Sus scrofa: one gene and its partner. The main gene of each other region encodes a partner of the protein of the gene in region 2 in a complex. Links are inferred from orthologs where the notes say so. Each region holds a gene or a part of one and is shown on either strand. Other genes may lie near its edges.

Region 1 (3,190 bases), on a different chromosome or scaffold from region 2:
GAGAAGGAACAGTTGTTTACTTTTTGTGGAAGAAGAGTGTAGGAACCAAGTTCCCTCCATTTTGGTAGGAGTCAGAGCAGAAAGAAAACTGGGTCCTTTTTGCTCCATCGGGTTTGGATGCCTCCCCTCTTCGTTAGAGAAGCGTCCAGTGTCTGTAGTCAGCGGCTTGTCATCCCACCAGTTACCCTATTACTAAAGAAACCAAATTCTTCCCACCATTCCCCATGGCAACCATCTCCCAGCATGCCTTCCAGGCTCTTCTAACCTTTGCCAGAAAATGAAGCAGGGAAGCAACTCATTCCACTATCCTGCAGGGCAGTTCCTAATCACCCCTTGATGCCACACAAGTCTCGATACCAACACTTTACAGACAAATTTGTTAGAGCTCAGACCACTACAATCTGGAAGAGCTGTTACACCAACAGCACCTCCAGGGAATTCTGAGGTCGTGAACCCAACTGGGGGAGGGAAGAGACAGAAGTCCCAAGAAGCCCAGAGGAATTTGAAACAGAGTCTGGGGGATCTCCAGGTTGCACTTGGCTTTTAAATGTTGGGCAGAAAGGCCTTCTTTGGCTGCAAAGTAAACAAGTGCTTATCAGGTGCCAGAGATGATGCTAAGCACTACAGGTGAGACAAATCCGAAGTTGCTAGCAGAAACGTGAACCACAAGAACAATGAATTATCCTGAACGGGTACTAAAGAGGGAAATATCCACAAGTGTGGTCCTTGGCGTCTCCTCCCAGCTTAGTTCAGTAACATCATTTTAGTAGTTAACAATTGGCCATGGTGAGCGTGTTACACCACAGAAATCACAAACGCTGCAGATCAGGGCTGTTTTGCCCCCAGAGAACACTGACCAGCATGGCACTGACTTTCTTTCCCTTGGAGTCCCAAGGAAGGTGTGGCACTAGAACCCTAGCAGTAGCTGCAGAGCAGCCCGCCTAGGAGGGCCTTTAAGATGACCCAAGACTTTAGCTAGCAAAAGGCAGACTTAGAAAAGCACTCAGGTTTGGTCACTTGCACAAGTGTGTCTCCTGCCTGTGCTCCTCCAGCGTCCTCCTCTCGGCCTGGTTGCCTCTTGTTCTCATGAGATGGCGGGAGAACGAGAACAAGCTTAGTGCCACCACTTCTCACATTCCCAGCGGGCTGTGTTTTGGGGAGCGATGTGCCCAGGTGTGATGGCTTCTACCAGGCAGCAGGCGTGGATTTGGTATGGACTTCGCTCTCCGTCCTGTGAAGGGGCTTCAGACAGGGGCTGGGGGCTTGGAGAGGGACCAGACCACGTTTAAGGTTTTGTGCTCAAGCACCACCAGATACTGAGCCTTATGTCTTCATTCCCACTGGGGCCGACCCAGGAGGGAGAACATCTGGGCTCCCTGATCCCCAAAGGAGATACAGAAATGTCCTACCACCTCTTTCTGGGACACGAGTAAGAAGAGAGTTGCAGGAGTGGGCGGCCAGGGGCGTTCCAGAACTACTCATTTTGGTAATAAGTACTGAGACAGCAGGCACCGAAGTGCAGTTAGATACACCACACCCACTTCTCTGCTTAGAGCTTTGGGAGAGACATGCCCATCTAGCCAGGGGATGTGCGCTGCAGGCCCAGGAACAACACAGTGTTGGGGGGCAGACACCTCAAAGACCCTCTGATCCACTGTAGAGATGAAAACTGAGGCTGGGTGAGGGGAAGGGGCTGTCTTACCATGTAGCCAGCAAGAGCAGACCAGGGCCTGCAACCAGGTCCGCCGCTCTTTACATCACCATGCTGCCTCCTTCCAGGAGAAAGAGGCCAAAGGGCTGTCATGACAGCAAGAGCTAAGGCATCCTAGGGGGGCTGGGAGAAGTCATTCAGGACGTCATTAGGAGATTGCTGTCTCCTTTCACAACCAGGTGCTATTTACGTATTTCAACATCACAGTGACTGGAAGGGGTAGGGCAGGAACAGACATTTGGCATTATTGATTATACCAGGTTCTTTGGGGCCCTTGGCATCAGGACTGTGACTGGTCCTCTCTTTGGTCTTTGAGGGAAATGGGGTATCAGTTTCCCCAGAAGGCGGAGTGGTCAGAGGCTGTGCATAGGAGAGGCAATGGTGGGAATTCTGGAAGGGAAAGGAAAGGAGGAGAATCAGGGCTCTGTCCCAGCCCAGCCACCCAGGTAGGAGGTGGAGAGACGCCTTTACCTATGGCTGAGTCCCAGCCAGTGGATCTGCTGTCATATTGTCAGGCTGCTCCCCGAGCTCCAGGATGTGAAGGCTCAGATGTTCCCTCCAAGCCCCACTCAGCAGGGAGGACAGGGCTGGTGGGTCTTCCAGGGTCAAGTGGGGAAAGATGAGCGCCTCATTCTTGAGGGGGAAGCTGCACTTCTTCACCGCAGGCCTGGTGGTGCCAGGGGTCACCACAAAAAGGCGGCAGAGCCATGGCCCACCCGCCACCTGGCAGGCTGGTTGTCTGGTGAAGTTGTTCAGGGCTTGACACAGGAGCCAGTCCTCACTGCCAGCCATGTCCACCACCTCCACTGGTGACCCCAGCCCGGGGAGGTGGAGGAGGTGCCGGGGGGGCATGTAGGTGTGGGTGAAGAGGAGTGTGTAGCGGGTGGACACATGCGGGAGCACAGGGGCATGAACCACCCGCTCCAGGTGCCCCAGGCCAGGCACGAGGCCGCCCTGGTGCAGGCAGCCAAAGAAGAGGGCCCCTAGGGCATTGAAGAGAGCGAGGGTGCCCTTGCAGGGTGCAGGCTGGGTCTGTGGACTACAAAGCAGGACCAGGGGGACCAGGAGGGGAATCAGGAACCGAGCCTCCTGGTGGCTAAAGGCAGACAGCAGGGCCAGGGGTGTGAAGTAGATGAGCAGGAGGTGAGACCTGGACTGCAGGCGCCAGGCATCCAGTGCTCTTAGGAAGCCCACCCTTGCGAAGGCCTGGAGGCAGGCTCGCAGCTGTCGCCACGCAGCCTGCAGGGCATGGGCGTGCAGCACCCCAAAGAGCAGGAAGCCATTGACTGCCAGGTGAGTGAGCTGCATGTGTGTGCCATGCCTCGCCAGGTTTACAGGGTCCAGGTTGTAACGCAGGAAGTTGGCAGGTGTAAGGATCAGGGTTCTGGGTCTCGATGGACTGGAGAAATACCAGCTGTCCACAGCCACAAACACTGCTGCCGTGAGGGCCGCCCCTGGGAGCAGCACCAGGGCTTCCTT
Region 2 (3,747 bases):
CTCTGTTCCAACTTGGCAGGATCCCTCTGAAGTCACGGATGCCCTGAACCATCTTTCTCCCTGTGCTCACCTTTAACTTCCCCTCTAGAGTTCGAGAACGTTTGAAGCCCGAGTTCTTGGTCTCGGCCTTGATGGCACTGATGGCTCCTGACTTCACCAGCTGCTTTGCTTGCTCAGTTGCTGTGGCCGTGTCCACCACGGGCTGCTCTGACAGAGCTGGAGTGGCGGGGGAAAGAGGCTTTGTGTTGGCCAGGCTGTGACAGAGGTCGGCCTGGGCTCCTCACTTCCGGTCTATCCCCACTTCCCCTGTCACTCACAGCGTTTGACACCACCTTGGCTGGCAGTGCTGCTGCTGCTTTGCTTCTTCAGAGCCAGCAATGCCTTTTTCTGGGAATGAGAGTGAGAAGAGAGGGGTCAGTGAGGGCCAGTCCCTGCCCAGGTCCTCTCCCAAGGCCCCTGGGCACATCACTCCAGGGGACAACTTTCTCAGAGAAAATAATGCAAATGGTGCCCCTAGAGTGGCACACTGAGGCAGCCCTGCCTCTCACATATGGTCCCCCAGAGCATCTACAATGCTAACAACACCTAATCTATTCAAACCACAGTATCCAGAGGCTTTCCAGAGTCTCACGTTTCTCAAGTCGAAGACAAGGGGTTTAATCATAGACCAGAGTCTGCAGATACAAGCTGCAATTAAGTGTAAGTCTCCATGCCTTCTTGGGGGCTTCACCTGTCCGCCCCCTAAACGTTTAATCAGAAAGAGCATCACTAGGAATTTCTGTAACAGGTCTATGCAGAAGTATGAGACGGAAATCCTCCCCTCAAGAAGCTTAGAGTTTGAGAAATAAGATGACCAGACTAAATTGTCAAGACTGATTAAAGAAGTGTAGACTATAGCTGAGAGCAAGTAAGACCTTCCTGATGCCCACATTAAACTGAGCCCTGGATAGAATCTACAATAACATACAGAAAAGAAAAGGCATTTTAGACAAAGAAAACAAGGCGGCAAAGATGCAGAGATAAGACTCTGGGTGTGTGTGTGTGTGTGTGTGTGTGTGTGTGTGTGTGTATGTGTGTGTGTTTTGGGATTAAGGAATAGTTCTTTTTTTTTTTTTTTTTTTTTGTCTTTTTGTTGTTGTTGTTGTTGTTGTTGCTATTTCTTGGGCCGCTCCCTCGGCATATGGAGGTTCCCAGGCTAGGGGTTGAGTCGGAGCTGTAGCCACCGGCCTACGCCTGAGCCACAGCAACGCAGGATCCGAGCCGCGTCTGCAACCTACACCACAGCTCACGGCAACGCCGGATCGTTAACCCACTGAGCAAGGGCAGGGACCGAACCCGAAACCTCATGGTTCCTAGTTGGATTCGTTAACCACTGCGCCACGACGGGAACTCCCAGGAATAGTTCTATTTGACGAGGAAGGGCTGCCAAATTAAGGCTCTTTTATAGACAATGTGAAACCACTGGCTTTTGAGAAAAAGAAGGACAGTGTTTTCTGTTTTCAAAGCACCATTTTAATAGAAGTAAAAAAGTCTGTCGAAAAAAGAAACTTGCTGAGAGACGATTACAACAGTCTAGGTGAGCATCAGCAAAGGCCTGACTGCGAGAATACACAGGAAGGAGTAAACAGAAGAAGTTACTTCAAAGGAGGAATCAAGACGACTCGGCAAACATTTGGCTACGCAAATAAGACAGAGACGAGATCTGGATTCCAAACAGCGGGAGAAGTGAATGGAGTCAGTCCTATTTGGAAGACCAAGATTAGAATAGGTAAGACCAGAGCGGCAATATATGAAGGTTATTGGCAAGATACAGATGGAACTAAAAAAAACCAAGCCTGGGATCACCAGTTCTTAGGTGGTACTAAAAGCCGGAGGAAAGGAAGACACCTCCATGGCAGACTATACAGAAAAGAGAGAAAAGCAAGTATCCACCTTGAGAAAGTCCACCCATGAAGGGACACTGAGAGGTGCCATGTCTCTAGGTATGAGCTAGAAGAACCCCCACCCCCCCATCCCCTCACACTCACCCCAGGTGTTCTCAGTGTAGAGTCTTTGAAAGTTTGGGCCATGCCCACACACACTCCCTCACCTTTTTCTTGAGTTTGTTGAATTTCTTCTGCAGAGCCTCCTCCTCCTCGCTCAGTCCGGGGGGTATCACCAACATGGTGGCTCCTGGTTCAGGGGCAGGGCCCAAGACATCTTTCTCCACTGTCACCGCCCAGGGGTCACACGCCGTCCACACTGCACCCAATCCCACCCCTCCAGGCCTGCCTACTCCTGTCTTTTGCCTCTCCCTACCCCTTGCTTAAACCAGCTGCCGTCCAAGCCCCCGCTCGTCGGGATCAACCAGCATTCCCTTCTCTCTCCGGGAATCACGGATACCAGCGCCTTGGGGCACCACGTAGCCCAGGAAGGGAGAAACACCCCCTCCGTCGCGAAGACGATGGCACCAGACCCCCCCTACCTCGCTGGGGTTAGTATGGCATTCGCAGGGTCCGAAAAGCAGAGGAGGCAGTGGAACCCGCGCAGCGCTCTCAGAGCAACGAACAGGGCAAGAAGAGAGAAGGAGCTCGGAAAAAAGGGGCGAAGGGTGAGACGGAGAAGGCCTTACCTGAGGGGGCGGCAACCGGAGCCCCACGGTCTCGGGCGGCGCCCGCGCGGGCAGCGGATCGCTGGCTCGGAGCGATGACGTAGCGAGGGGCGGAGACCGCGGTAACCAAGGCGGCTCGCGGCGCGCACACTTCCGTCCGGCCTCCCACCAGCTTGGGTTCCGCCCCTCGGTAGTGCTCGTCCCCGCCCCCAGCGGGGTGTGTTCCGGAAGTCGCCGCTAGTTCCGCGGGTTTCGGCTCCTCCCTACACTTCCGGGCTGCCCGGCAGCTACCGTGGCTCCAGGATGATGGAGACGGAGCGACTCGGTGAGGGGGCAGAAGGTGGGAAGGAGGAGGAGACAGGGAATGACCCTTGACCCCTGACCTGTGATTTTCCTCCCATAGTGCTGCCTACCCCAGATCCCCTGGATCTGCCCCTCCGCGCCTTGGAGCTAGGATGTACCGGGCGCTGGGAGCTGCTGAATGTGCCTGGGGCTCCAGAGAGCACCGTGAGTGACTTTTAGCTCTAACCTAACCTTGACCCTTATTAATAGGGCTTAAAACCCCTTTCAGCCTTCTCACAGTAGGGTCTAACCTGACCTGGCTCACCTGTCTCTGGACACCTGTCATCCCAGCTTTGGACTGGTGCGGGATGGATCCCAACCCAGTCGACCTGCAGTGCGTCAGAGCCCATGAGAAGACAGAGCAGGGAGCCCTGGGGATAACTTTAGCTCTGAGAACTGCTCTTTCCAGTGGGTCTTTTCTCCCTGGCATCTTCTTCTGTCTCCAAGCACCAGGGCACTTGTTGGTGGCTGATAGGTCAGCCCTTGAGCACCTTCGGTTTTTCATCCTTAGGTCTGGGGCTCCTTTTCCTAAAACTAGTGATTATCAGAATCTGTGTGCCTCATGATTAGAGGGGGAGCTTTCCTAAATTAGAAATTCTTAGGTCCATCTCCAGAAATTCTTTAATCCAAAATCTATATTATTAAACAGCTCTCCAGATAATTCAGTTGCAGGTCAGTTTTTCCTATAAAGTAGGACAACCTTTGGAAACTATTGCTTCAGCCTAATTGTCCTAGCCTGTATGGGACACCTACCATTTCTGATCTAAACATGAAGCCCGTCACCATCTCTTTTGTCTGTGTCTTACTCTCTTTCC

What was found. The genes of interacting proteins can lie anywhere in the genome.
Region 1: the proteins of NELFE (region 2) and NCBP2 are in contact, whole or in part, in a crystal structure (PDB 5OOB), measured with the Homo sapiens proteins. The link is inferred for Sus scrofa from reciprocal best matches to the Homo sapiens genes NELFE and NCBP2. Residues at the interface, in NP_002895.3 of Homo sapiens: Lys361, Arg362, Gln364, Ile365, Val366, Tyr367, Asp369, Tyr372; in NP_031388.2 of Homo sapiens: Phe49, Tyr50, Thr51, Thr52, Glu53, Gln55, Lys68, Ile69, Ile70, Met71, Leu73, Lys77, Lys78, Thr79, Ala80, Asp107, Glu121, Gln124.

The regions. Positions count from the first base shown.
Region 1 is NC_010455.5:133,177,077-133,180,266, reverse strand, and holds the start of NCBP2 (nuclear cap-binding protein subunit 2), read right to left. Parts: upstream 2,102-3,190; 5' UTR 1-2,101. Other genes in the region: PIGZ (GPI mannosyltransferase 4), read right to left, coding at 2,183-3,190. UniProt on the Homo sapiens protein: Component of the cap-binding complex (CBC), which binds co-transcriptionally to the 5' cap of pre-mRNAs and is involved in various processes such as pre-mRNA splicing, translation regulation, nonsense-mediated mRNA decay, RNA-mediated gene silencing (RNAi) by microRNAs (miRNAs) and mRNA export.
Region 2 is NC_010449.5:24,044,214-24,047,960, forward strand, and holds the start of NELFE (negative elongation factor E), read right to left. Parts: upstream 2,720-3,747; 5' UTR 2,612-2,719; intron 2,173-2,611; 5' UTR 2,165-2,172; coding exon 2,090-2,164; intron 388-2,089; coding exon 318-387; intron 217-317; coding exon 71-216; intron 1-70. UniProt on the Homo sapiens protein: Essential component of the NELF complex, a complex that negatively regulates the elongation of transcription by RNA polymerase II.